Linked DNA regions of Ovis aries. The protein of the gene in region 4 interacts with the protein of the main gene of each other region in a pairwise test. Links are inferred from orthologs where the notes say so. Each region holds a gene or a part of one and is shown on either strand. Other genes may lie near its edges. The genes, in order: PSMA1, FAM110A, ENKD1, MKRN3, SFN, POLR1C and UBE2K.

Region 1 (4,451 bases), on a different chromosome or scaffold from region 4:
ATTTATTAAGCTCTTAATATGTAGTAGGCATTATGCTAGGTGCTGGGAAAACAAAAAAACATTTGTTTTTTTTAATCTACTAAATTTTTAATCTACTAAATTTACAGTGATTTTGAAAAATGACAACAAGCAATATTGGTGAATTTAAGAAAGGGATCACTCATAGACAAGGGTTGAGAATACATTTTGGTAAAACATTTCTCCAGAGCAATTTAGTACTTTTTATAAAAGCCTTAGAAATATCCATTTCATTTGACCCTACAATTCCATTTTCAGGAATTTATTCTAAAAAAAGGAGTGCAGATGTGTATACAAAAGATATGTCATAAATAAGCTGCCTGGGAGAGGGGTAACCTAAATATTAAAGACTAGGAATTTGGGTAAATAAAATATCCAGTGCATAATACTAGGGAGTCATGTTTAACCTAGAAAATGTTTAACATGAAGAAATGTCCAAAATATATGAGACAAGGTTTAAAAAAAGAGTCTGATACTAAATTGCTGGGAACTTGAGCAAATCACTTAAGTGAGCTGAGTCTCTTCTTCACCTGCAAAGCTTAGATACTTAAGGACCCTCTCAACTCTTCCGTTATATGACTCTAGGTATCCATCCTTTCTTTTTTATAAAGAAAATACCATCCTTTGTGGTTCAGTTGGTAAAGAATCCGCCTGCAATGCAGGAGACCTGGTTTCGATCCCTGGGTTGAAACGATCCCCTGGAGAAGGGAAAGGCTACCCACTCCAGTATTCTGGCCTAGAGAATCCCATGGACTGTATAGTTCATGGGGTCGCAAAGAGTAGAACACGACTGAGCGACTTCACTTCACTTCATCGTTGGCAGTCGGTAAATGTTAGGTTGGCAGCTGATTGCACAACTGTCCTAAACTATTTCATTCGAGGATTTACTAAAAATTGCTCACAAAAGAGAAAATATGTGTCTTGGAAGAAAATGTCTACCTTTTTCCTTAGTTGCCTAATCTTTCAGCATCGTGCTTGGTTTTGAAGGTACAGAAAGACACTGGCGCCCTCAGAGAGCAAAGTCTCTTGGGGTAAAACCAATAATAATGTTAAAAAGACTGATGATAACAAATCCTTGAAAGATGAGTTCTCCAAGGAGTAGGAGAAAGGATTCCAAAGTAGAAAGAAAAGCATGTTCACAGACAAGATAGAGAGAGAGGATGGTTGGCACAAAAACGGACCATTATTTGTGGCCTTTCTTTCAGTATCGTTCTTCTCATATTACCCAACACCTCATATATCGTTTAAGGGGAGACTGAGCCACACACTCGATCACCTGTAGTCTCTGGTGCATCCGGTCAGGCCGGTGAGAAACTGACAGGAGTCAGCAACACGGAGGTAACTTCACCAAGAACCCAAGAAGGGGTACTTGGTAGCGGCAGCCCAGCAGCTCCTAGTTCCCGCGGGCACTCCTGGCCAAGGTTTCCAGCCAATCTCAGTTCCTCTAGCTTCCCAGGCCCCTCCCACTTCTGAGCCGCCTGAGAGCTTTGAGGGCGGGGAAGCAAGGGAAGCCTATCGATATCTCTGGAATAAACTATTCTACCCTGCGCCGCCGCCGTCAAAGTCCGCAGTCTTCTCTGTAGATCGCCGAGCGGAAGTTTCGGCAGTGCTGTTCCATCCGCTGGTTTGCAGGAGGCCGAAGCCAGGCTCGCGCCGGAACCATGGTGCGTTGGATTCCGAGATTAGGCAGGGTTGGGGAAGAGGTCCGCTGGCTGGGGGGTAGGGGGAGCTTCTTCTCATGCCTTCCTTAGAGCGGCCCGGGGCCATGGGACTTAGGAACCGTTGCCGACGGGATGGTTCAGGCGGTGATTCAGCATCTCCGGCCTGGCCGGGAGAGTGGAGGTCGGTAGTCTGTGCTGCCGCTGCGACCTTTCCCTGGGGTTTGTTTCGCTTTCCACGGGGTCTTGAACAGTATCTTCTCGGTCTACCAGCCGATTTCGCTCCTCAGATTCCTTCAGTCGAGTAAATTCCGAGCGGTCCAGAGAGGGCCCTAGTGCTCTGTGTGGCAGAAAGGAAAAATAGGGACTTAACTTCAGACCTCCTTGTACTGCCAAGTGCGGACTTGATTCCAGGGTTTGGGTTGCTGCCTGGACCGCGTTCATTTTCTTGGCGGGTCCCTCTGCAGTCTTTTTCTTAGAGCTCTGTCAGAAAAAGCCCTTTTCAATCACTTTGTCTGCTGTTGCTGCTGCTAAGTCGGTTCAGTCGTGTCCGACTCTGTGCGACCCCATAGACGGCAGCCCACCAGGCTCCCCCGTCCCTGGGATTCTCCAGGCAAGAACACTGGAGTGGGTTGCCATTTCCTTCTCCAATGCATGAAAGTGAAAAGTGAAAGTGAAGTCGCTCAGTCGTATCGACTCTTAGCGACCCCATGGACCGCAGCCTGCCAGGCTCCTCCGTCCATGGGATTTTCCAGGCAAGAGTACTGGAGTGGGGTGCCATTGCCTTCTCCGACAAATGAGTGAACCGAAGCTGATATTAGTGATGAAATCAGGGTTATAGTATAGAGCTCAGGGATTCCAGGCCAGTGCCTGCCATTCCAGCGCTCAACCTTCTCACCCCCATGATTAGTCTCCCAAGCACTGTGCTGGTGGACTTAATACCGTCTTTAAAGCTGTAATGGGTCTGTTTTTATGGCAGTTTGTGTCCACTTATGACTTCCTGGGGACATTCTTGTGTTCTCATTCAGTATGAATGAATGAAAGGCACGTTCAATATGAATGTTTTAAGGGCAGTGAAGGTTCAAGGATAAATCAGACATATCCCAAATCGTAGTATGAGGCAGAAAAGTAAGTGTAGATAAAGAACTGGTGGGAATATGTTTTGAGATTTGGGGAGAAAAGATGGAGAAGATTTCAAGAGATAGACATTTGAGCTGACTTAAGAAAAGGTAGTAATGTTTTTGACCATTTATTAGGGTCTGAAAAAAGGGAAGAATATTAGCAAAGATAGAAAGGAAAGTGGACATATAGGAACTTTAGTAATTGACTAAACCCAAACCAAGTACTATGAACAGTGTTAGAACTGCTAGACTGATTGGGAAGCTATGTACCATTTAGATCCGCCCCCCCCCATCTCCTTATAAATGTAAAATTGACTTGCAGCTGATTACAGTAGTAATCTTCCAATGAGACTGCAATAGCAGCTTTTCCTTAATGCTGGATGGAGAGAGATGGGAGAACATTTTTTAATGATAGAGCTTGTGAAGATTTTGAATTTGTAATGTTCTTGTGTTAATAGGTCTTTTTTCATTTACTTTCAGTTTCGCAACCAGTATGACAATGATGTCACTGTTTGGAGCCCTCAGGTAAACTTTTGGTTACTGCAATGTGTTTAGAAGCTTATGGGATTGTAGGAAGTGAGAAAATGGAATATAATCATTTTATACGTTCCTGAAACCTAAGTTTATCATTAAAGTCAGTCTTCTAGTTTTAAGAAACAGCATTTGAGATGTAACTATGCCCACTTGAGATTTGGGATTGCTAAATTATGTTAAATATATAAAAGGGTCTTGTAATGACTAAGGTGTGTTGGGTTTTTTTTTTTTTTTCATTTTAGGGCAGAATTCATCAAATTGAATATGCAATGGAAGCTGTCAAACAAGGTTCAGCCACAGTTGGTCTGAAATCAAAAACTCATGCAGTGTTGGTTGCATTGAAGGTAAGTAAAGCAATAAATATATCTTCCTCCTTTAGAAAACACTGTAAAATGTTAGTTTCACTATATAAATAATAAAATTATAAACTTACTCTTTTGTCTTAAATGATGTTTCTATTTAGAGAGCACAGTCAGAACTTGCGGCTCATCAGAAAAAAATTCTCCATGTTGATAACCATATTGGTATCTCAATTGCGGGACTTACTGCTGATGCTCGACTGTTATGGTGAGTATGACCTGGAAAACAAAAGAAATATCCCTTTTGATTCATAATTGATTACATATCTAGAAACAATCCGGATATTTTAGGAAGTTGTCTGCTAGAGTGTTTATAAGTTAAGATTATTAATACCTTAATGTATTTGGGCTCAGTTACTAAGTATTCCATTTCTTGATCACTGTAGCAGTAATTAATAGGATTAACCACATTAACATTAATGCTTTTTAGAAGTCATTGAATAATGTATTACTTGTTAACTCAGTATATATAGTTTGATGTTAGATCTGGGAAGAGCTTGACACCAGGTTTCTGAAGGATCAGCTGAACCACCTTTGCTGTCTTTAATATACCAGTATTCATTTGACATTTATTTTTTGCAAAGCTCAATACTGGATACAAAGAGTATACAAAGGTGAATCAGACAGATCTCATCTTCTAGGAGCTTAAAATCTAGTAGAATATCTGCAATACAAGGTAGAAAGTGGAGAGCAACAGGTATATTTCTTTGGAGGGGGTGGGGGATAAAGATTATTTCCAGTTGAGAGGCATATTGCAGATG
Region 2 (4,248 bases), on a different chromosome or scaffold from region 4:
TCTATTCTTTGCTGAGGGGGCAGGAGGTGTGGTTTCTGATGTTTATCATTTTTATGACATTGTGCACTTCCACCTCACCCCTCCCTTCCACCTGCTTCTCCTTTTCCTTAGCAGAAGTCCAGCCCAGACTTCGGTGGAGACAGAGAGGCCCTCTCCTGCCCCAGAGGGAGCCAGGAAGGCTCCAGGCAGCAGAAGACTCCAGGACAGCTGCCAGGGCCAGAGACACCCAGCTGGGCATCCTCCAGGCCCACGCCAGGCCCCACACTATTTCTGGAGTTTTCCCAGATGTTCGTGCCCTGGCCTGCCTGCAGTCAGCCTTGCCCAGGGCAACCTTGCACAAACCTCAGGAAGAGAAAGGTAAACAGGCCACAGAAGCGGTGTGGGTGCAGCTGCCTAAGGCAGCAATCTCCCGTTTGGCCCACCAACTGCACACCTCCACCAACTCAGTCCTCTGGGCCTCAGGTCTGCACCTGAGCTTGCCAAATGAGGACAAAGGGACTCGCAGTGCAGACTAAGAGAGATACTGCGCGCAAAGCCTTAGGGAAGGGCCTGGCACACAGGATGCGGAAGGTGGAGTTGGGACAGACCCACAACCAAGCCCACTTCCTGTCCCGGACTGCCCTCTGCCTGGGCCGAAGCGCACCATCATGGCTTCTTTTCTCGGCGCAGAGATGTCAAGAACCTTGTCCAAAGTCACAAGAAAGTTAATGACAGATCATAGACAGGGCAGTGGTCTCATGATTAGATAAACAATCTATAATACACACATATTTTTTCAACCAGGTGATACATGTGCATGGCTTAAGATTCATAAGCTGTAAAGGAAATTAAAAAAAGAAAAACACCTCCCTCCACTCCTATCCCCAGCCACCCAGTTCCCCTCCCTGCAAGAATCATTATGATCAGATGGTTATATGTCCTTCCAGGGAGATTTCAGGCACATACAAGCAACAATGGACATATATTCTATTTTTTTTACACATAGCAACATGTTCTGTGCATTGTTTTCATTTATTCTTTCATTGAATAATATATGTTCTTAATATGTTATTAGCATGTTATTAATTATAATGTTATTAACAAAATAATATATGTTGTACTACATAAAGAGCCCATCAGTCCCTACCAATGGCCACTGAGCGTGTGTCTAGTCTCTATTAAAAACCACACTGTGGGACTTCCCTGGTGGGCCAGTGGTTAAGAATCTGCCTGCCAATGCAGGGGACATGGCTTCTACCCCTGGTAGAAGATCCCACGTGCCATGGAGCAACTAGGCCACAACAAAAGAAGCCTCCAAGTTCTAGAGCCCATGATCCACAGCAAGAAAAGCCACCACAATGATAAGCCTGCAACTAGAGAAAGCCCAGGCAGCAACGAACACCCAGCCCAGCCAAAAATAAACAAATAAATAAAAGAGTTCTCAGGCAGAGCCTTAAAAAACCCAAAAACCCCACACTGTGGGCTCACTGCACCTATATCATTCTGCCCAGAAGTGGGACAGCTAGGTCAGGGGGTGCATGTGTAATTGTGACAGAGATGAGGGACTGTGATCCAGGGAGTTGATCTCCCACCAGCAGAACACACAAAAATGATCAATAAATGTTAGCATTAGTCATTTTGATTCCTAGGGCTTTGGGCACCCCTCAGTTTCACACTGGAGGCGATTACCTCATTTACCTCACCCTAACCCTTCCCTGCAACACATTCCAGTCCGGGAAGATAATAAACTCGCTAATAAGTGAAATTATAGGACATTGGATGGGGTAAATGCTACTGAGAAAAACAAAATAGACAAGGCAGAGCATATGAAGTGAGTAAATATTTGTTGAAAGAATGAAGACTTGTTTTCTTTCTGAATTTCCAGAGCTCTGCTCCCTTTAAAGCCAGGAGACTGGTTTGGAGGAGAGAGGATAAATAATTCCCCTTGAAGAGATTCTAGACTCCCAGATGCTACAATTCTGAGTGTCTAGGATTCTAAGATGGAAGCCAGACAGATTGGGAACCAGCCCCAGAGTTGCCAAGTCTGACCATGTGGTTTTGGGCAAAGGGGCTTAACTTTTTAGAACCTCAGTTTGCCCACCTACGAAAGGAAACCCATAGCAACCAGCAGGTGGGGAGGGGGTTCCCCAGGAGGTAAGGCCTGGTGTAGGTCAGATGCTCTACCAGGAGCGGTCCTGGGCCCAGGACCAAGTCCAGTGTCTCTGGTGACTAGCGTCTTTGGCTGAGGGCTGTGCCTACCCTTTTGCCCAACCCGCAGTAGATTCCCAAGAGTCCTACAGCAATTCCAGGGCCAAAGCATCTGCTCCCCACCTGGCACCTAGCTCAGAAATGTCAGTCCTGCCTGAGCCACCCGTATCTTCTCTCTGAGAGGGAGAGCTCTGTAATTCAGAGCCCTGCAAGCTGAAGGATCTCAAGTGAGCCCCAAGTCCACCCCTGGCTTTCTGGAGAAATGAAGACAGATGGTGGGGAGAAGACCCCAGGCCGACGCTGGGGAGAGGCAGCCTGGAGCGGATGCAGCCAGGGCTCTCATGCTCCTGTTGATCAGAGGCTAAGAAAGCGACCACCAGTTACCTGTCAGGGTCTCTCAAGGCAAATCTAGAACTATTATGCTAGAGACTGCGAGATGGAGCAGAAAGATCTGAATCAGATTCTCTGCCAGACTTCGTCTTTCTGAGCCTCAGCGTTCTCATCTGTGAAATGGGGTACCCTCGTAGGACTCGGAGAGAACACGCACCGCAGGGGTGAATACAGCGCCCCCTTACACCCGGGTTCGCGCCCCGGACCACCCGTGCCCTCACAAGGAGCCTCGCCTAGGCGAGTCCCGCTCCTCCAGTGTGGGTCTTGAGGAGGCTGACAGCTCGGACCCAGTCAGGCGGGGAATGGCCGCACCCAACACGGCTCGGGAGGCCCAAGCCCCACGTGAGGACCCGCGGGGGCCTCTTCGGAGCTGTGCTCCGCACCCGAGATAAGCCGGAGAACCTGACTGTCCCAAGGTCCCAGACAGAGCGAAGGTCTGGGGGCACAGAGGGGAAGCGAAAACCCCGGGGCACCGGGGGAAGGGGAAATGAGCGCGTCGCTTCACCCCCCTCCCCGACACCAGAATGGTTTGCCCCGGACATCCTGATTGGTTTCTCGCTTCCGTTCGAACTCCGCGCCGCCCGCATTGCCAGGCAACGGCTTAGCTTCGGCCTGGCGTGGGAGCGCCCTGCCTTCTCAGTCCCTCCCCGCCCTTCAGCTTCCCGGTGGTCTCAGGTTCTTTGAGCAGCCCCTTTAGCTCAAGCGGCTAATTCTTTCTCTTGTTCACCCGGGACTTAGCTGATGGACGGAGGACCCTGGTGGGCCCAAGGGGTCGCTAAGAGTCGGACACGACTGAGCGACTTCACTTTCACTTTTCACTTTCATGCATTGGAGAAGGAAATGGCAACCCACTCCAGCGTTCTTGCCTGGAGAATCCCAGGGACGGGGGAGCCTGATGGGCCGCCGTCTCTGGGGTCGCACAGAGTCGGACACGACTGAAGCGACTTAGCAGCAGCAGCAGCAGTCCTGACTTCAGCTGACAGGCTATGTGAACCAGTGCAAGCCAGTTTTCCTGTCTGTTCCTCTAACTGCTCAATGCTGAGCAAGTTAGTGTGAAGATGGGCATGCCCAGCAGTCCCGAAATTTACTAAGGATGTGAGCGAAGATTAATATGCCCTGCGTTCTTTATCATGGCAAAATAATGAAAATAACTTAAGTGCTCAGTGAAAGGAAATTGGTTATATAAATCCATCCTGCGGAAGAACTGAATTTATTGAGGTTTTTATATATACCAGAAGCTTTGCATGACAAAACTCTCATCACTGCTCATGGCATAACCCTCTGATAAGTACCTTTAAATATCCTCACTTTTTGCTGAGGAATATTATACAGTCATTAAAAATGATATGATTAAAATATATTTAGCACTAAGAAAGATTGAATTTTTCAAAAGTATGTTTCAAAGCACTATGTACAACACAAATATGCATTAAATACATAATGGTAATATCACATGTACTATATTTACGTAATGGACTTCCCAGGTGGCCCTAGTGGTAAAAAAATCTGCCTGCCAATGCAGGAGACACAGGTTTGATCCCTGGGTCAGGAAGGTCTCCTGGAGAAGGAGAAAGAATACTCTAGTATTCTTGCCTGGAAAATTCCATGGGCAGAGGAGCCTGGAGGGCTATAGTTCATGGTACTGCAAAGAGTCAGACAGGACTGAGCACA
Region 3 (4,454 bases), on a different chromosome or scaffold from region 4:
TGCGAGTGTGGCCAGGGGGCATGGCTGGGTCTGGTTGGCTGTGCTGACGGGCCTCAGCCTCCCGCCGCCACAGGTCCCTGCGCTCCAACAAGCTGTGATGCACAGACCCAGGGCTGATGACCCTAGGCAGACGTGGGCTTCCACCCTCCATAAGTGCCCCTTCCCAGGAGTGGGGGGAGCAGTAGGACCTACTAATGGGGCACGTGACCCTTCTGCGTGGCGTTGTAGTGCTCCTGGGCTTGCCGTTGCTGCTCCAGCACCTGTGCCAGGACTTGCAGCGAGCGAGAATGCCGCCGGGGGGCCCTCTTGGCAGTGCGGGCATTGTGCATAATGAAGTCCACACCCAGACCTGGGGCCTGCGGGACATGGCCAGCATGATGAAACAGCACTGTGTGGTGCCCCGGAATCCCTGCCCCACCTCCCAGCCCCCACATATCCTCTCACCTTAGCATTGGGACCTGGTAGGGTTAGCTGGGGACTGGGGACACGGGGTGGTGGGAGCCCGGGGCCGCAACGGGAATGGGCCCGCAGAAAGTGGGCTGGCTCAGTTCTAGAGGCAGGGCCGGGCTCCTGGAGGCCAAGGCAGAGCGGGGGGTGGTCAGTCAGGCTGAAGTCAGGGTCTCAAGCTGTAAGACCATGCCTCTGTCCCTCCTGTCTTTCAGGATCTTTCTCTATCACCAGTCCTCTGGACCTGGCCTCCTTCCTCTTGAATAAGTACTTCCATCACATCAGCATTTAAACCTGTGTGTTTTTCACATCTCTCAGAAAACATATTTCCCTCCCTCTACCTCAGTCCTGGCTTCAGTCATCGTTCTCTTTTTCTCTCCTTCCTAGTCAAGCTTTCTGGCTCTGTCCCTACCAAGGCCACCAACAGCTGGTCTCCAAGCCCCCAAATCCAGGGTCACTTCCCTGGTTTCACTATCCTCAGCCTCGTCCTCAATAGCTCCTGGGTCTCACTTCTGAGATCCAGACCTGATTCTCCATCTGCCTCTTGGACACATTCCCACTCCCTGGAAGCCCCACAAAAGCTTCAGCTTCAACACACCCACATATGACCTTGTCTTTTTTTCTGTCCTACTTCTCCTTCTCAGACCCCTGGAAAGAGAAGTGGCACCACTAGCTACCCCAGATAGAATCTTACCACCATACATACCCCTGCCCTTCCCATTGTCCTTAGAAATAAAGGTTTAAAAAAATGGATTTATGTGGCCCTTTATGATGTGGGTCCAGCTGACTTCTTAGCCTAACCTCATGTTCTTCCTCCCTCATAGTGAACTGAACACAGCATCCCCACTGCCCACACTCCTAAGTCCCTGGTGTTAGGACCAGGGACCCTGGAACCACAAGGTTCCATTTCTATAAAATGTTCTCCTCTATTCTCCCCTTGCCTAATTCCGACTTGCCCCTCAGAATCACCCAGCTGTCATCACTTCAGAGAAAGGCCACAGCCCCACTCTGCAGCAGGACCAGCTCTTCATCCCCTGTGACCTCAGCCCACTGTGGGTTTCCTCCCTCCTCATAACTCAAGTCAGAGTATAATGTCCTGTTGGCCAACAAGACGGGCAACACTTGGGGCTCCCTGAGGCAGGTACCTGCAGCTGAGCCTTGACACGCGACTCCACTTTGTCATACTTGGGTGAGCGCCACAGGGCCTTCAGGGGCCTGGATTGGGCCTGCTCCTGGCTGTGCTCCTGCTCACGGAAGCGCCTCTGGATTTCCCTGATCCGCCTCATGTTCTCCTTCTCATGGTCTTTAGGGTCCTTCCCTGGAGAAAAGATGTTGCCCTACATACAGCCCATACAATCCAACTTACCCCAGTGGACACACAAGCCCACACCCTGCCTCCCTGACATACTCTAAAGTCCACCACATAACCTTGTTCTCGTCCTCACACCATAATTATCTTCTGTTTCTGATGATTTTATACATATTTGATTATGAAGTATACTAGTAATCACCTTGCATATCCTATTCACCTCTTCACTTGTTTTACTGTCTCCCACCTTGATTCAATGATGCGCTTCTTCGACCTTGTTCTCCTAGCACCCATAGGGCCTGGAGCACAGCAGACACTCAACAACCAACCATGCATAAATCCATGAAGCTGAGCTACGGGCTTTTCCGGGGTATGCCTCATTTAGTCCTCTCCTGCGAAGAAGTCGTGCATTTCCCGCTCCTTCTACAGTTGGGGAAACAGACACTCTGAGAGGTAAAGCCTGAGCCCAGAGCAGGGAAGGGGAAGCAGCCGTCTTTTTATCTGTTTTGACTTCAGAGCCGCCTCGCTGTCCGTTCTGACCAGAACTTACTCTTGGGAGAGGCCCCTGGGCCTAGGGAGATACCCCCGAGCTGCAGCAGCACACCACCCACGCCGCGACGGCCACGCTCCAGGATTTCTAGGCCTCCCGGACGGATGCGAGGGGCGCGGGGAGGGGTGGCGTCTAGGTCCGGGTCCGTATCCGTCGTCAGCAGGTCCAACTTCGGCGCGTTTCCCTCAAGGCGCCCTTGGGCTGAGAGGCCAGACGGGGCAGAGTGCGGAGTCAGTGGTGGAGCTGGGCCCGACCCTTGCCAGGCCGCTTTCACTCCCTAACTCACCCGAAGACGGCCTCCGGTAGTAGTCCGGACAGAGCGTAGGGTCTGGGGGGATGGGCCCCGAGATGCGGGACGGACCCTCACACATACCGCCGCCGCCGTCCTGCAAACGTTGCACCTGAGGCCTGCCGGGCTACGCGTCTCTGGCTCCAAACCCGGCTTCTCAGCCCAGTGCCTCCTCCCTGGCCCCGGGTCCTAACCTCAGCCGTGCCCTGCCTGCGTTCCCGGCCCCCACCCCGCCTCCCGGCCCCGGCCTGCGCTCGCCACCTCTGCTCTCAGCCCACCTCTCAGTACCGTTGGCAGGCTTCTCACTCGGGCAAGGGGCTCACCAGAGCGGTTTTGCCGCCCACTGCCGCCACCCGACGGGTTTGCTGTTGCCAGGCAACAATGGTTTCCGTCCGTGAGGTCAGGGGCCAATGGCCTTGGCGCAAAGCCTTCTGGGGCCTGTAGTTCCAGCTGAGGGGGGAGCAGAACGACTGTCAGTTGCCCTTCCCAATCCGGTCCTCTCCCGGGTCCGCTCAGGGTCTACTAGTCTGGCCCCTCAGGATCCGCCCTCCATCCCCAATGCCCCTCAAGCAACCGTCGAGGAAGTGCTGATCCGCCGCAGCTATGGACTCCGCAGGGGCTGAGAAGCGGCCAGGGGCCCAAGAAGGGGCAGCCGTGGGGCAGTCACAGCTTACAGAGATGCCTGGTGGCCATGCTCAGAATTCTGAGGTGACCATCGGGCTGTCTAACCTTCAAACACTTGGGTCATAGCGCTTTAATAGACCAAAACTGCCAGGCCAGGTTCCACAGGCTGGGAGGGGCATGGGCTGGTGCCCTTCATCCAGAGTATTTAGAGTCTAATGGCTGGTCCCTGTATCCTTTACCTGGCCATGGTGACCAGTTACCTGTGTGTCACCGCTAGTGTCCAGTGATGGGAGACCAGGGCCTGGTGCCAGCCCATGAGGCCTGCCAAACCCAGGATGAAGATAAATGTCCAATAAGATCCACCTCAGAGCCAAAGATCCAGGAGAGACTCAAGCTGGAGGAAGACAGGCACAAACCAGAGGTGGAGGCCCTGGAGGAGAGAGGTCCCAGGCCTACGGCCTCCACTGTGAGGCCCAGTCATGGTCCGAAGAGGAAGCCGGTCAAGTGAGGGGGCTTTCAGAGGGAAGAGACTGGGAACTGGGGAGGTGGTGTGGGGGTGGCTCATACCCCAGTTGGATTCTTAAATGGGGCCTTACAGTAGTGTCCATCCTTATCCCCTGACACCACCATCATTCCTCACCTCTGCTGACCCTCCAGAGCCCTGATGTAGGGAACATGCAGAGCAAAAGTCTCAAGGCCTGGTAGGGGACTGAACTCCCATGATCTCTGGGTCCCTGTCCAGTCCAGGGCCTCACTGACCAGGAAAAGGACAAGGATCACGGCCTGGGGAGGTAGGCAGGCAGGACTGTTCCCTAGGACAGGGCACAGGAGCCAAGGCTGCAGGCTGGCTCCTCAGGCCTCCTTGTTCCCCAGCCTCACAGGCCCGAGCCACCAAGCCCATCCTAGGGCAGAGAGTGAGTTGCCACAGGGGCTGTCGCTGCAGAGGGAAGAGCCGGAGAATAATCAGAATGAGCCCTCACCATCTGCCAAACAGCACAAAAAGACCAAGAAGCGCAAGAGTCTGGGAACCCCAGTGCTCCCAGTGGTGGCCAGCACGGTGTCGGCACCCTCAGTGACCTTGGGGCCTGAGCGTGAGTGGCATTTCCTGAGCCTTCCCTTTTGTCCCAGCCAGCTGGACCCAACACAGCCCAGCTTGGCACTCCAGTCATTGCCCTGCCCTGGGTTCTTGTAGGAAAGGCCCAGCGCCTGCGGCCCCTGTACCAGTACATCAACTA
Region 4 (4,265 bases):
TCCCCCGACTTCATATTTGTTTTATTTTAATTTATCATGTTTATGATTTACTTCAATCTAATTTCTGTGCTATATTCATATTTTCTCAAATTTTCAAATAAAAATTGAAACATAAAATTTCCTCTAAGAAACTTATTTTAGCAAACAAAATCTAATACTATGTAAAATGATAATCATACCACAAAAGGTTTTATTCCTGGGGGAAAAAGGGTAAGTTAAACATTGAAAAATCTATCAGTGTAAATAATCACAATAAAATTAAAAAGAGAAAAATAACATGATCATCTCTTTAAAAGTACAGAAACCTACATGATAAAATTCAATATACATCAACACTTTATATTTATAACTACTTTGTTTACTAATCTAATAAGATGCATGTGCAAAATGACAGCTCAGATGAAATTAAAAACCACCACATGGGCAGAAGGGTAGAGGATTTACCATGAAAGGCTGGCCCAGCACAATACCTTACAAAACTGGGTGTAATAAAGAAACAGAAACAAAGAGCCACTGTGAATTAAATCAGAAAGAGGGAGGGAAAAAAGCAAGCCAGGGTCACAACGGGGACAGAGGCTTATTAAGCCAGCATCAGGACCAGCAAGGTCTGAGGTTTCTGCACAAAGGGAGCGAAAGCCTGGAAACCACAATAACCTCACCCGGCTGAAAGACACTAAAGCAGCCTCAGACCAGAGGTCTGCTCATGCCTCACTGGTGAAAAGCCTTTCCAACCGAAGCCTGTAAGAATTACCAGAATACAAAGAGCAGAAGAAATGAGCTCTTGTCAACACAACTAAATGAATAAAGCTTCCAGAAGCAACAGTTAAGGTATTCAGAACGAAAAATAATTAAAACAAAAACAGATCCACATAGACATAAAATGAAGTGAACAACACATTTATAAAATTCATGTGTGATATGGTTCAGAAACAAGATGAATTTTACGCAGTGGAAAATTTTTAAAAAGCATGAGGATTATGTTTTCAATTGACACGTATGAGAAACCAATGAAATCAATGCGTCCGAAGGAACACAGGAAGGGATTGCATTAAAACCTCAAAGGGCTGTGATTTCTTCCGTCAGAGGAGCCGCGGGAGGACGAGGGGCTGCACGCAGCCGAGCAGGGGCGGCGAGCCGGGCAGCTCTGCCGAATGCGAACAAAAGAAGATGTCGGTCACAATTCCAGCCGGACCGGCTGCGCACCGACCCAGTGGAGGACTGACGTTGTCACCACAGGAAGTGTGTGCTGCGCCTGCTCAGAGAAGGAAGTAGGAACGCAGGCACAGGAAGCAGGGACAGGGGGAGAGGAAAAACAGATGCACAGCTCCAAAGGAGGAGTCCCGGAGCTGGCTCGTGGCCTCCGGGCCTCAAGCCCGAAAGGAAGACACACCGGGGAAGTTCCGGTACCATTTTGGGGACTAAAAGCTGCCATGGAAGAGCCTGCAGCTCCCAAAGAACCCCACGAGGCAGCTGGGGCCTCTAGGGGTGCAGAGGCAGCAGGGGAAAGTGCCCCACGGCCCACCCTCCCGGTGCGCCCTGTTTCCCGGTGGTCTTCGGTTCCAGGCCCATCCCCGTTCCGCCCATCACGTCTGAGGCCTGCCCAAGCTTCGTGGGGAGGGGCCGGGCCCAGCTGGCTGCAGAGCCGGAGCACTGGCAGCTGGACAAAGCAAGTCATCTGCAGGTATTATCTGCATGGGCTGTGCAAGGAGGGGGAGAAGTGCCGATACTCCCACGACCTTTCGGGCCGGCAGGTGGCCAGGGAGGGCCCTGGCTCACAGCCCCAGGCCTCTGCAGACAGCGGCCCTAGCACGGCTGCACACATGGAGCCCCTGCCTCAACAAGTGGCGGAAGCCCCCCCTGCTGTTTCCTCACGTTCCTTGCCTGTGATTGGCTCGGCTGCTCAAAGGGGTTTGTTTGAAGCCAAGACAGACAATGCAGGCCTTGAAGCTGCTGGAGGAGCAGGTGTAGAAGGCTGGGAGAATGCCGTTGAATTTGTTCCCGGGCAACCCTACCGGGGCCGCATGTTCCCTTCTGTCTCCGAGGCTCCTCTGCAGAGCTCGGTGATTGAGAGTGGGCAGATTGTTCTGGGCATGGGGAGGCAGCTTTGCCGCGATGCCATCGCCGGGCAGTGCTTTCGTGGGCAGAGCTGTATTTATCTCCATGGAGATATATGTGATATGTGTGGGCTGCCGGTCTTGCACCCTTTGGATGGTACCCAGAGGGAAGACCATGTAAAGGCCTGCATTGAAGCACACGAAAAGAATATGGAGCTCTCTTTTGCCGTGCAGCGCAGTGCGGACAAAGTGTGTGGCATCTGCATGGAGGTTGTCTATGAGAAAGCCAACCGGAATGATTGCCGCTTTGGCATCCTCTCCAGCTGCAACCACACGTACTGTCTTAAGTGTATCCGCAGGTGGAGAAGTGCCAGACAATTTGGGAGCAGAGTTATCAAGTCCTGCCCTCAGTGCAGGGTCATGTCCACCTTTGTCATTCCCAGTGAGTTCTGGGTGGAGGAGGAAGAAGAGAAGCAGAAACTTATTCAGCAGTACTTGGAGGCTTTGAGTCACAAGACCTGCAGGTATTTTGCTCGAGGCAGGGTCTGCCCATTTGGAGAGAACTGTTTTTACAAACATGTGTATCCTGAGGGCCAGGGAGAGGAGCCTCAGCGGCAGGGTGCTGAGGCATCTGGTACTTGCCATTGGGAACCTTTGGAGCCTCTGCAGGTGGGAGAGGGCAACATGCCCTTTAAAAGCAGTAGAAAAGAGCTTGTCATGCTTTGGCTGGCCAATCTGTTGTGTAAGTGTTTTCACCAGGAGCCATGTGCTCCTCTTCACAGAGGTCTGGTGGGACTTGCTTCATTGTGAGCTGGAAGAATATTGCACTTTGAATCTGTGGCATTCTGCTGTGGCATGTTGTTTGGTGTGCTGAGGCTCTGTCATCTGCTCTTGTCTGTGTTTTGTTTATAGACACATCTGTCACTTCCAGGGGCTGCTGAAAGCATTTGTATAGAAACATCCATCTGTTTCCTTGACCATTCCCATTTCTGGTCCCCCAGGATTATGGTGTTTCACTGTGTTAAAAAGTAACAAAACATCCTCAAAGTTATTGTTTGGTGAAATTAATATGACTGTCAGTTTATGGTTTATTTTGTCATCTGTTTTTAACAGGATTGACTCAGTTCTAGTCTAGTGTTTACAGAATTTCCACACTCATTTTGAAGCCCCTCAAGAATAAATGTGACAGGGTGAAGGGAGAAGTCTAAACTGAACCAGGAGCTTTTTGCTGCTTCAGTCTTAAGAAATGGACCCTCGTGGGGCTTTATGGTGCAGCTTCAGTATCTCTGTTGTTTACACATCTGTTCCCTCCCCCATTCCCCTTCAAATGCACTCTTAACTTGTGGTTACCTTGTGGTTTTATGTTTTACTTGACCAGAACCAGATGCATATGTTTACGTGTTTTTATCCTGTTCAACTTGATGTGAAATCATTTATATTTGAAAGTATATATGTAAGAATTATATATATATATATACATGCACATTAACGTGTATGAAAGTTATGCATTTGAAAATATTTATTTAAGGTGTATACTATAATATAATCTTTATTTAATAAAATAAATACTGAGCTGGAAGCTGAAGGTGAAAGGTTGATAGGATTGCTGTTGTGTGAGTGTGAAGTATGTAAATTATTTTTCTGTCCCTCTCACAGGCTTCAGTGATTAGCATCTAATGAAAACAGCTATTTCAGTGGCTCTATCTAAATGTAGCAGACACAGATCTTAAAGAATTTACAGAATATGACACTGGTAATTACTGTGATGCCATTAATAGCTCGCTGCTATGTGGGTTCCCATGCAGTTTAGCCACTGTATCATTATTTAAAACAACACAGTCTTTGACTCAGATACACAGTTCTTTGTGTTCAGTATTTTGTGTCATCCATAGACATATCAGAGAAGGGGCTTTTGACAGAAGTTTTTGGCATAAAAGTGATAAGATTATAAAAAGTAAAATAAAATAATAAACATATTCAAATAAGTAATAATGCAATAATGGAAAGACAATAAATGAAATATAGAAAGTAATGAAAACTGAATAAATATAAGCTGGAAAGTTAATAATGCCAATATACCATAATTATATTAAGTGGAAATATTTTAAAATCTGAAGATTAGCAGACATAATTAAAATGAAAATGAGACTATATATTTTTTAACTATATACTACATACAATAGAAGAATACAGAAACATTATAAGGATGAA
Region 5 (3,527 bases), on a different chromosome or scaffold from region 4:
GGTGTTCAGACACCAAGAGGAACTGAGGAGGGACAGGCTTGTGAAATAGTTCTGGTTCAAGCATTAAACTGGCTGGATCCCAGAGAGAGGAGCCCCACCCCGAGCCCCATCTGAGCTTTGGCTAGAGGTAGAGTAGACAAGCAGGAACCCACCCTCCTAGGTGCAATGCCAACACCTTTGGGTGAAAATTTCAACTGACATAGAGACAGGGTCTCAGTGAACAGGGACAAAAGATTGGCAACAGAGAAGTCTCCATCTCTGAAGCTTCTGCCAGGAATCAGAAGTGGGGCCGTGGTCAGAGGGAAGGGCAGGGAAACTTCTGAGAGGCAGGCTCATTCAGCTGGGGGGAAGAGGAAGGCAGCGCTCAGCTGGGACTGCTGCCCCATAAAACGAAACGACATGCATCACAGCCGCCTCCATCGCCTTGGTCCTGTCTTTTCTCCCCAGTTGCTAGCGTTTCCCCCCCTCCTGGTACCCAGCTGGGCAGGGTACCCAGGTGGCGGGCATCCCTGCCTCTGACAGAGGGCGGGGCTGAGTTAGGCAGGAAAGTGGAACAGCCAGTGAGCTGGGTCCCCACCCTCTGTGCGCCCCACTGACACATGATGGCAGACAGGGGGGGCAGGTGACCTGGTGTGGACAGCCAGAGGGCAAGTCCTCAGACAAGTGGCAACAGGCCACCAACTTGAAAGGGAAAATTGTGCTGTGATGGGGAAGGTATCCAAAAAACCTACTGGGTGACTAATTACAAAGGCTAGGCCAGAGCGTCAGAGGCCGCTCGTTAAACACCTCATTAAGTGGCACTCTGAAAGCTGCCACTTTTGCATTCTGGGAGCTCAGAGGGGACAGGATCCTGAGGAGGAGTGAGGGGTGGTGGGTAGAACCATTTCAGGTAGACTCTGGAAGAAGCCTGCATGTCACTTTTAAATAGTCTGGAGCTCACAAGTCAAAAGACTTGATGGGAGCAAAGCCAAATTTAGTAGCTGTGTGACTGTGAGCAACTCTCATCTTTCTCTGAGCCTTAAAGCGGTCCCGCCTCTACAGTGGGAGTAGTGTCACAGACTTGCCCATTTCACACAGACAGAGCAGGTTAGATTAAGTTAGATCATGGGTATGAAGGCGCTTGGGAAGCTAGCTACCGCCCTACCTAAACAAAGAGTTATCCCTCCTGAACCAATATGGGAAACACACCTGGCAGGACTGGGAACCGCATCCTCCTGCACCTGGCTTTATGGGCTCTGCCTAGGCCCATAGCGGCCAGGTAGCTGAAGCCATCCTCAACCCGTGTAAGAACACGGTGAAGGAGGATCTGATTTCAGCAACTGGGACAGCTACCTACGGTAGGCATGTAATAGAAGCCCTGAACCAGAGCGGGCAGCCTGGGGCCTGGAAAGGTGTCGGTGCAGGTGAGGCCAACGCCCAAATCTCTCCCGCTGACAGTCCGGATGACTCACCCCCGGCCCCCGCCTCCCTACCCGCCATCCAAGCCCTTTTACCTTTAAGGAAGAGCGGAAAGGGTGTGGGGGCGAAGAGGAGAGGGAGGCAGGTCCGGGGCCCTAGCCCCGCCCTCTGCCCCTCCCACCCTTCTCTGGGCCTGGCCTTCCAGCCAAAAGGCGGGCAGAGAGCAGGAGAGGCACAGAACCCGGCCTTGGTTCCGAGGCAGCCAGTTAGCCCGCCGCCCGCCTGTCTGCCTGTCCCCAGAGCCATGGAGAGAGCCAGTCTGATCCAGAAGGCCAAGTTAGCCGAGCAGGCCGAACGCTATGAAGACATGGCAGCTTTCATGAAGAGCGCTGTGGAAAAGGGCGAGGAGCTATCCTGCGAAGAGCGCAACCTGCTTTCAGTGGCCTACAAGAACGTGGTGGGTGGCCAGCGGGCGGCGTGGAGGGTCCTGTCCAGTATCGAGCAAAAGAGCAATGAAGAAAGCTCGGAAGAGAAGGGCCCGGAGGTGCAAGAGTACCGAGAGAAGGTGGAGACGGAGCTCCGGGGCGTGTGCGACACAGTGCTGGGCTTGCTGGACACCCACCTCATCAAGGAGGCCGGTGACGCCGAAAGTCGGGTCTTCTACCTGAAAATGAAGGGCGACTACTACCGCTACCTGGCCGAAGTGGCCACTGGCGACGACAAGAAGCGCATCATCGACTCAGCCCGGTCGGCCTACCAGGAGGCCATGGACATCAGCAAGAAGGAGATGCCGCCCACCAACCCCATCCGCCTGGGCCTGGCCCTGAACTTTTCCGTCTTCCACTATGAGATCGCCAACAGCCCCGAGGAGGCCATCTCTCTGGCCAAGACCACCTTCGACGAGGCCATGGCCGACCTGCACACCCTCAGCGAGGACTCCTACAAAGACAGCACCCTCATCATGCAGCTGTTGCGAGACAACCTGACGCTGTGGACGGCCGACAACGCTGGGGAAGAAGGGGGCGAGGCTCCCGAGGAGCCCCAGAGCTGAGCCGCACCCGCTGCACGCCCTGCCCTACCCTGCCCGCTCCAGTCCCCCACTCCCGGCAGAGAGGACTTGTATGGGGTGGGAGGTCCGACCCTTCTCCCCAAACGCTCTGGCCCAGCTCAGAAAGGCTCCATAGAGAGGAACAAGCAGAGCCGAGTCCCCCTGGAGCCAGAGGATTCCATACTTCCTGCAGCTGTCAGGGGCTCCTGGCCACTGGTCATCATCCAGCCCTGCTCTGTCTCCACCCCCGCCCCCCGTCCCAGACACCCCCCCCCCCACCCTGACCACTTCCTCCCCACTCCAACCCCCTCCCGCCCCTGCTACCTATGGATCTTAGGAATTGAGGAGTGTCCCATCCTTAGAGCTGAAAACCGAACTGTGTGGCAGAGGTTGGTGATGAAGGTGTGTGTGTGCGCCTGTGTGTGTGTGTGTGTGTTGTGCAGCAACCAGGACCCAGGATGAGAGGGAGAGCATGTCTGCTGGGTGTGACCATGTTTCCTCTCAATAAAGTTGCCCTGTGACACTCCGCCTGTCTTTTTCAGTTATTGCGGAAGGGCGGGACAGGGATTGGTGTGTGAGTTACAGAGACCCTGACCTCCTTGGGGCTGGCTCAGTGACTCGCAGGCAAGACTCTGGAGCCAGGAGAGAGGCTGGGGATCCAGCCCTCTCCATCAGGGTCTGGTCTAGTCCCCTCAAACTGGTCCTATCCCGGGAGGGTCGGGTGAGCAGCGCCAAGGCGGCTTGGAGACTCCTCTGCCAGGAACGTGGGGTGGGAGGCTGAAGCGCTCAGGTGTGAGGGGACAGTCTCCGGGGTGAGGTCGGAGGGGTACGCCGCAGTGAGCGGCACTGAGCACCTCAGACCTGAAAGCGGGGAACAGTCCCATCAGATCTGAGCGGAGGGAAGTATCACCAGGGGGCGGGTATGACGCCGCCATTAAAAGCTCAGGTCTGAGGAGAAGACCGCCTTCCAATGTTCGGAGATGGGGACAAAATAAAACAGGCCGTTGACGAAGAAGTGCAACTTGAGTGCGAAGAGCCGCCAAGAGCGGGTTCGGCCGCGGCGGGCCAAACCCACCGCCCC
Region 6 (3,707 bases), on a different chromosome or scaffold from region 4:
TAACAAAATGTATTGACTGAAAATAAAGCTGGAATTGTCCCCAGAAAACCCAGGCCCCCTAGTCTCTCTGGGGTCCCAGTAGCAGTACTGCGGGGGCAGGGCAGAACCTGAAGTCTTCAGCTTGCCTCAGGAATATCCGATCCTGGCCATACCATCCAGCGTAGCCTTAGTCCATCTGAACCGCATCCAGTTCGTCCAGGAACCGCTGACACTTCCCCATTAGCACCTTGATGGCTTCACTCACCAGCACATCTGGTGGCAACACCCCTGTGGACTCAACAGAAACTGGGGACCAGAGAGAAACGCGCCTTAACACATACTGCTAGATTCCACGTCTGACCTCCAGCAAACTGTGGCATCAAAAAACCACCACCGTCCCACCCTCAACTTGAAACTCACAAATATAATGGTCTCGAACACGCGCAAGCCGTACAACCTTCTTTAGCTTCTCATTCCGGAAGACTTCCCTGCTAAAGGTATCTAGCCGGGGATTGGCAACTCTGGCCACCTTTTTACCTAATGAAAACAAACCATATTATAAATACATGAGCCCACAACTTGAATTTTTCTCTGCTATCTTCAAAGGAAATATGCTTTAGGGCCGGGCTTACACACCATCCCAAATCCCATACCTTGGATTTCCTGCACCTCAATAACACCAGGTGAGAAGCAACGGCTCAGCTCTTCTGCCGCCTCCCCTTCCACAGGCTCCAGCAGGGTGATATCTGGCAGGAGCCTGTAACTGGCTGTTGCCACAGGTGAAAACTTGGCATGATCTTTGCCTGGAGGAAAGAGGGCACTCAGAGCCTGGGAGGAGACCCTTCTTCACATTCCCTAAGCTACTGAATGAAGGGCCAGTGGCTTTCTGCCTGTTGGGAGTATCTCAGCTGAGTTCCTGTCATGTCTCACTGACAGTGTAGTCAAAAGGTCTCACCGATGCCCTTGACGCAGTGCATGAGCAGGTCAATCTCCTGGCCAGGCCGCAGCTGCGCAATGAGGATGTCGTCGTGCACTGGGCGGATGGCGCCCTCTGGGAAGAGGTCGGCCTGGTTCCCCAGGGGTACCCACGTCATGTGCCTGGTGTACACTGCGGGGGGAGCACATCACACCCAAGTCCCTGAAATGCGCCCACCAGGGAATGAGCTCCCCTCCCCCCACAGCCCCCGGCGCGCACCTCTGTGGTTAACATAGAGCTCATTGGGGTCAGAGGAGTCTTTAGCAGCGTGGGGGTTCCGCGTGCACCTGACCTGCAGCCGGAACTGCAGGGTGTCGATCTCTGTGCCGCCTTCGTCTCCTGCACAAAGGGGGAAGGTGGGGCGCTCACAGCACTGACGGAGACATCAGCACCAGGCACCACGCCGCCCGCCTGGCACATTTCTCTCATTCTCTTGGCAAACACAGGAAGGGCGAGGGTAAGTGTTCTCACAGAGAAGAGCACAGATGCACCCCAAGATGGGTCATGGGCCCAGGGTCCCAAGGTAAATAATAGAGGATTCGAACACAGGCAGTCTGATTCCAGAACCCCTTTCAGAGGAGGACGGCCCCCCTTTTCCCAAAATGTCATTTTCTCAAACCCTCACCTTGGTTCCGATATTCAAAAAGACGGGGGTCGGCATGAATGGGGATGAGGCCCAGGCGGTGGGCGAGGATCTCATCCTGGACGATGGACGTGTTGTTGTACACCAGGACCTTCTCCACAGCCATGGTCGGCACCTGCCCAAGGAGAGAGACCCTGCAGTGCCCCCAGCAACTCCCCCGTGTCCAGATACAGGGAGACCGAGACCTCACTCTAGGAGACTTAATGAAAAGTTTACAAAGAATGAGCAGGAGGAATGCTCGGCAACACTGCAAGAACACCACTTGAGACAATTCCCCAAGTGAGGTCCCCCCCACAACCCCACCTTTGCCACCGTGCCCACCGATACCTCAGCTAACAGAATGCGCCGAAACGCATTGGCAATGGCTGCGTCGATTCCCACCATGTCAAACTCCAATGAGTTTTCATCCATGTGTACCACATCCACACGGAAATTCTAAAGGGATAGGAGAGACACTAAATGAAGCCTGTTTCTGTATATGCAATACCTCCCCACCTGACATTCCCCTCAAAAACCTCCCTTTGCCCAGATGTCCCTCATTAGACCTTACTTTCTCCCCCAATCCTTCATTTGATTTTGGAAAAGCCTTCATTTTTATCTTCCATTCATTTAAAACCCTCTGCAGGGACTTTCCTGGTGGTCCAGTGGTTAATGCAGGAGGGACACGGGTTCGACTCCTGGTCCAGGAATATCCCACGCACCATGGAGCAACTAAGCCCATGAACCACAACTACTGAGCCAGCACCACAGGAGCCCATGCCCCACAGGAAGCAGGCCCCGCAGTAAGAAGCCACTCACTGCACCTAGAGAAAGCCCGGCCCATTAAAGACCAAGCACAACCAGAAATGAAATTTTCTTACAAATTCCTCAAAAAGTAAAAAAACCTTCTGCAATATGGCTTCCAGCCACATTCACAGAGGCTATGTTACTAAGAACAGGCTCACATACTGCTCACCCAGTTGACACTGCTCAACTTTTATCTTACTATACACCTCTGCTACACCTGGGACTGTTGAGAGAAGCCTGTTTCCAAACTCGGCTGCCTTGATTTCAGAGCATCAATCTCCTCCTCCTGGTCTGATCAATCCTTCTAAATCCACAGTCTTCTACCTACTATATAAATGTTACTGTTTCCCAAGTTTTTGTCTCTCTCCAGCGTGACCTCACAGAGAAGGCAATGGCACCGCACTCCAGTACTCTTGCCTAGAAAATCCCATGGACGGAGCCTGGTGGGCTGCAGTCCACGGGGTCTCGAAGAGTCCATCTCGACTGAGCGACTTCACTTCCATGCACTGGAGAAGGAAACGGCAACCCACTCCAGTGTTCTTGCCTTGAGAATCCCAGGGACGGAGGAGCCTGGTGGGCTACCGTCTATTTGGTCACACAGAGTCAGACATGACTGAAGTGACTTAGCAGTAGCAGCAGGGTGACCTCAACCCTGCTCATGATTTCAGCGATAATCTGTATGAACAACTCATATATATATATAAAATCAGTTTGCTGGACTTCACTCACAGGAAACTGAATGCCCCAACAGTCCCCTTCCCCAGACTGATTTCTTATCGCTAAATGACCACCACCCATCAGAGCAGTAATTTTACACTCCCCCCTACAGCCCATATCCAAGCAACCGCCAAATTTACCTTTCGTCTCCCCTGTGCTCTATTTCATCATCACACTCTTCATTTCTGCCTTCAGCCTCAACTTCCCTATGCAACTGTCACAAACTGTGCACACCCCACAGGACAAGCCTCAAATCCTCTACCTCTAAGCTTGCAGATATGATCCTACTTGCTTAAGAACTCTTCCAGAGCTCCCTATCACCTCTGGTGCCTAAAATGCACTTCAATCTTGCCTACCACTGAGCTGCTTACACACTCCTCAGCCTCTGCTCCTTGTTCAAGGCCGAACTTAGATGTCACCTCCTTCAGGAAATCTTCCATACCTCTGCTCCCCATTCCCATTCTGGATTAAGTGTCTGTGTGGGATACCCCCCAAAAAAATCCCGACCTCCACCCTACCGCCATCATCTTTTTTTACTTTCAGCTGCCTTTGCCACATTACACTGGAGTCATTTGTTTATGTTGGCCTCATCATACACAGACATTA
Region 7 (3,707 bases), on a different chromosome or scaffold from region 4:
ACATTAAACAGTCTTTCCTTCAGTGACATAGTTTGCTGTGGAAAGTGAATCAGTCACATTTAAAAAATCTAATCTATATTTATTTAGAAAAATCAGGTTTTTAGGCAATTAAGAGATGAGTTCCTATTTTGAATACTATAACTGCATTGTCATATCAAACAATTTTTCCTCCATATAGTACAAACAAAATCCTGAAATGTTCAAACAGACAGCTCGACTTTGGGCACATGTGTATGCTGGAGCACCAGTTTCTAGTCCAGAGTACACCAAAAAAATAGAAAACCTATGTGCTATGGGCTTTGATAGGGTAAGTACATACAGGCATGTTGATTTTTATTTATTTGTTAAATTATTGTTGCAAATCCTTGGCTGACAAAAGTGGTTCAGTGGTACTCTGAATCTAATTTTGATAAGCAAACTTTGTTATTAAAACTAGTAATTTTTTTTTTTAAACTTTGGCTGGTTCCAGTCATTGATTTTTTATTTTAAAAAATAATTTTATTTGCTTATTTTTGGCTGTGCTGGGTCTCCACTGTTGCTTGGGCTTTTGCTCTAGTTATGGCGAGCTGGGGCCACTCCCTAGTTGTGGCATGCGGGCTGCTTATTGTGATGGCTTCTCTTGTTGCGGCACATGTCGTTGTGACTCCTGAGTTCTAGAGCACAGGTTCAGTAATGGTGGCACGTGGGCTCAATTGCTTCACTGCATGTGGGATCTTCCCCGACCAGGAATCAAACCTGTGTCTTCTGCATTGGCAGGCGGATTCTTTACTTCTGAGCCACCAAAGAAGCTCTAGCCATTGGTTTTAGAGTTTTTAATGCACTACAAGTGCAGGGTAACTTAAAAATGAAAAAACAAGGTGTGGTTTCTTTAATATAAAGACTGAGTGATACCGTATTTTTAAAATATTTCCTTGAGACTTTATTTTGTCCCCTTTTCTTTTCTACAGAATGCGGTAATAGTGGCCTTGTCTTCAAAATCATGGGATGTAGAGACTGCAACAGAATTGCTTCTGAGTAACTGAAACATAAAGAGAGATGCTGATATAGTCAAGCTTGCCCCTTCTTGGAGGAGCATCAACATCTGTTATTTTTAGGATTCTGCATAGATTTCTTTTAAACTGGCATTCTTGCCTAATGATGTTATCTAGGCACCATTGGAGACTGAAAAAAATCCCTGCTCTGTAAATAAAGCTAATTAAACGTCTGTGTAAATTTAAAAAGGGGAAATACTTTAATTTTTTTCTTACTTAATAGTGTAAAAATTCTTTTGAGCTAAGCTAAAACCATGGAAAAAACATGCTACTTTAGTGTTTAGCAGTATACCAAGACTAGCAAGAGTTTGCTTCAGGATTTCGTTGAATAATTAAGATAATATTTTGAGTGTGTCAGGGCCATTCAAATTGTTGGTGTTGCATCACAGCTACCTTAACTGTTTTTAACATGGATCCTCTGTGCCTGTGAATTTACTTGCATGCTTGTACTTGACTTCTTAGGATGGGTAGCTGAAAAGACCACCATTTTAAGCATTTGAGAATTCTTCAATATGAGATTTATCCAGAAATGAAGATGGTGACCTAGTCAGAGCCTTTTTGTCCTTGTCAACAGACTGGGACAACATATCTGTTTTTCCCCTCTTTCCACACACAGCTAATATTCTAATAATAAATTTCTTTATATTTGGTGGGGAAATGTGCTGAAGGACAGTATCCCTTGCTCCATTTTAGGTCATCCATTTGGAATGTTTTGTCACAATTCTCCACTCTTAAAACTTTCCTATATAAATACTGTAAAAATGGAGCTGCCAATTTTCTTTTTTTTTTTTTTTTTGTAAAAACAGTAAATACTTGATGTTGCAGTATTCCCAGATTAAATGAAAAGAACCCAGCTTAATTTTTCAGTGAGTTTAACGTCTTTTGATTTTTAAACTGATGGACTTTTTCTTTGAGAACTTGCAAGGATGAAATCAACTGTTTGCAGGTTTTTTAGCCTGATTTTGGCTTTATAGAGATTGCTTGCACTTCCCCCTATTAACACATGAAAGCTGTGTTGGTGTTTTACTGTACATACTTCAGATGCACATAGGAATAGAAGTGTGTTATAAATCTAGCTTTCTTTATGATGTTTCTGATAATATGAGAATTGAAAACTTTACCTTCTCTTGTACATAGTCAGACTTTCTATACGTATTAAAGTTAAACTTCACTCCAAGTTTAAAGTTTGAAAATTATTAGTTTTGCAAGCTCTAACACTAATGTGAACATTTTATGAAGGGTGAAATGGATTTGTGTAGGCAGTTCTATACATAGAAACACAGTTCTTATTAAATATTCAGGACCAATGCAAAAATAACAAAAATGTAATGAAATCTGAATGAATTAAAGTAAGGCTGTATATGGAAAGTCATATTATAAAAGGTTTTTGCTTTCTTCAAGTGTTATTTATCCTAAATTATAATGGTTAAGTGTTTGGAAAATAGTTTTGAACAGTAAATTCAGCATAATTTCATTTGACTTCTCAATAATCTTAGAAGCAATAAAAAGAACCATTATTAAATATATTGTAATGTTAAGATGTGAAGGTTCTTCCAGAAACATAAGGTTTTCCTAATTAGTAGTAAAACTCTTGTAGTTGATTTTATTGCATACTAAACACAAGTTGCTGTTTTTTCCCCTTTGTTTGCCTAAGTATAAATTTCTTTATACAATCACCTTCTTTAATTGTAATTTAGTTACTTTCTAAAGATGCCAAAGGAAACAAGATTTTCTTTATTTATTTTAAATAGCTAAAACCATGTACTTTTCTTTATATTTTGAGGTAAGGTTGGAATTGTGTGAAAATGTGGACAGTTTTTGTTCCATTGTTGTTTAGAATTATTTTTTTTTTTTTGTTTAGTGGAGGGTGGCTTGGTAATGTTAGTAATATTTGCATTATTTTAAATATCAAACACCTCTACCCAGTTTACTATTTGCCTGTATTATCAGGGTATATTTAATTGTCCTGTGGTTTGACAAATGAGAGAGAGAACTCAGAAGTTACTAAGGATCAAGCATTGTATACTTTGCTCTTGGCGGCAGCTGTAACTTGCCTATGACTTTTATGCACATTAGTCCCTTAGGGTATACTCATCTAACTGCAATTCAACATCCCCAGTGTCCAGGAAATGGAAAACTACAATATTTGGTATGAGAGGTTCTCCATAATGGATCTTCATTTCAAAAATTTACCTCATTTACATTTAATGTGATTATCTGTTTTCTGGTACATTTCCCACTATCGCCTTCTTACGGGGTTTTTGTTTTTTTTCCTATTTTCTCCTATTTTCTACAGATAGATTTATTTCCCCAAACATAAAAATAAAGGCAGTTGCTTTTTTCTCCTGTCTTATATATGTTTAGAAAAAGAATAGTAAAAGTGCAGGTCTAGGGAAAGTATATCCTGTTGGAAATTATTTTTATAATCCTCAGTGGTTTGTGATTTGTTAGTTGTAAAGGCTTCAAAAATTATAGTTAAATGTATGTGTAGTTTTATCCCATCTGGGCAGACAGTTTGCTGCAAGTCACTGATACTCAAATAGTCTTCTGTGATGATCAGGTCTATTTCCTGAGTGTGTGTCTGACTTTTAAAAGAACAAATAATTAGTTGTATTAGTATTTCAGTACAGACTGAATAAGTAGCAGTTTGTGATCCAGATAAGTATACGGTAAGGT

Evidence for each region.
Region 1: the proteins of MKRN3 (region 4) and PSMA1 interact in binary tests that used the Homo sapiens proteins (3 or more experiments, as listed by UniProt). The two-hybrid records come from large-scale screens. The link is inferred for Ovis aries from reciprocal best matches to the Homo sapiens genes MKRN3 and PSMA1.
Region 2: the proteins of MKRN3 (region 4) and FAM110A interact in binary tests that used the Homo sapiens proteins (3 or more experiments, as listed by UniProt). The two-hybrid records come from large-scale screens. The link is inferred for Ovis aries from reciprocal best matches to the Homo sapiens genes MKRN3 and FAM110A.
Region 3: the proteins of MKRN3 (region 4) and ENKD1 interact in binary tests that used the Homo sapiens proteins (3 or more experiments, as listed by UniProt). The two-hybrid records come from large-scale screens. The link is inferred for Ovis aries from reciprocal best matches to the Homo sapiens genes MKRN3 and ENKD1.
Region 5: the proteins of MKRN3 (region 4) and SFN interact in binary tests that used the Homo sapiens proteins (3 or more experiments, as listed by UniProt). The two-hybrid records come from large-scale screens. The link is inferred for Ovis aries from reciprocal best matches to the Homo sapiens genes MKRN3 and SFN.
Region 6: the proteins of MKRN3 (region 4) and POLR1C interact in binary tests that used the Homo sapiens proteins (3 or more experiments, as listed by UniProt). The two-hybrid records come from large-scale screens. The link is inferred for Ovis aries from reciprocal best matches to the Homo sapiens genes MKRN3 and POLR1C.
Region 7: the proteins of MKRN3 (region 4) and UBE2K interact in binary tests that used the Homo sapiens proteins (3 or more experiments, as listed by UniProt). The link is inferred for Ovis aries from reciprocal best matches to the Homo sapiens genes MKRN3 and UBE2K.

What each region holds. Positions count from the first base shown.
Region 1 is NC_056068.1:37,961,909-37,966,359, forward strand, and holds the start of PSMA1 (proteasome subunit alpha type-1), read left to right. Parts: upstream 1-1,620; 5' UTR 1,621-1,679; coding exon 1,680-1,682; intron 1,683-3,277; coding exon 3,278-3,322; intron 3,323-3,573; coding exon 3,574-3,675; intron 3,676-3,794; coding exon 3,795-3,898; intron 3,899-4,451. UniProt on the Homo sapiens protein: Component of the 20S core proteasome complex involved in the proteolytic degradation of most intracellular proteins. This complex plays numerous essential roles within the cell by associating with different regulatory particles.
Region 2 is NC_056066.1:59,933,473-59,937,720, forward strand, and holds the start of FAM110A (protein FAM110A), read right to left. Parts: upstream 2,853-4,248; 5' UTR 1-2,852.
Region 3 is NC_056067.1:34,775,355-34,779,808, forward strand, and holds the start of ENKD1 (enkurin domain-containing protein 1), read right to left. Parts: upstream 2,979-4,454; 5' UTR 2,919-2,978; exon of another isoform or gene 2,874-2,918; intron 2,693-2,873; 5' UTR 2,678-2,692; coding exon 2,593-2,677; intron 2,508-2,592; coding exon 2,307-2,507; intron 1,766-2,306; coding exon 1,593-1,765; intron 571-1,592; coding exon 445-570; intron 357-444; coding exon 193-356; intron 93-192; coding exon 1-92. Other genes in the region: C14H16orf86 (uncharacterized protein C16orf86 homolog), read left to right, coding at 3,199-3,303, 3,497-3,723, 4,063-4,310, 4,412-4,454. UniProt on the Homo sapiens protein: Microtubule-binding protein which regulates microtubule organization and stability. Promotes the stability of astral microtubules and facilitates the proper orientation of the mitotic spindle.
Region 4 is NC_056071.1:523,703-527,967, forward strand, and holds the start of MKRN3 (probable E3 ubiquitin-protein ligase makorin-3), read left to right. Parts: upstream 1-1,314; 5' UTR 1,315-1,316; coding exon 1,317-2,864; 3' UTR 2,865-4,265. UniProt on the Homo sapiens protein: E3 ubiquitin ligase catalyzing the covalent attachment of ubiquitin moieties onto substrate proteins.
Region 5 is NC_056055.1:240,067,267-240,070,793, reverse strand, and holds SFN (14-3-3 protein sigma), read left to right. Parts: upstream 1-1,644; 5' UTR 1,645-1,702; coding exon 1,703-2,449; 3' UTR 2,450-2,969; downstream 2,970-3,527. UniProt on the Homo sapiens protein: Adapter protein implicated in the regulation of a large spectrum of both general and specialized signaling pathways. Binds to a large number of partners, usually by recognition of a phosphoserine or phosphothreonine motif.
Region 6 is NC_056073.1:17,062,452-17,066,158, reverse strand, and holds part of POLR1C (DNA-directed RNA polymerases I and III subunit RPAC1), read right to left. Parts: intron 2,034-3,707; coding exon 1,926-2,033; intron 1,714-1,925; coding exon 1,581-1,713; intron 1,295-1,580; coding exon 1,175-1,294; intron 1,088-1,174; coding exon 935-1,087; intron 783-934; coding exon 633-782; intron 564-632; exon of another isoform or gene 517-563; coding exon 400-516; exon of another isoform or gene 286-399; coding exon 167-285; 3' UTR 153-166; exon of another isoform or gene 1-152. UniProt on the Homo sapiens protein: DNA-dependent RNA polymerase catalyzes the transcription of DNA into RNA using the four ribonucleoside triphosphates as substrates.
Region 7 is NC_056059.1:59,576,141-59,579,847, forward strand, and holds part of UBE2K (ubiquitin-conjugating enzyme E2 K), read left to right. Parts: intron 1-178; coding exon 179-307; intron 308-947; coding exon 948-1,022; 3' UTR 1,023-3,707. UniProt on the Homo sapiens protein: Accepts ubiquitin from the E1 complex and catalyzes its covalent attachment to other proteins. In vitro, in the presence or in the absence of BRCA1-BARD1 E3 ubiquitin-protein ligase complex, catalyzes the synthesis of 'Lys-48'-linked polyubiquitin chains.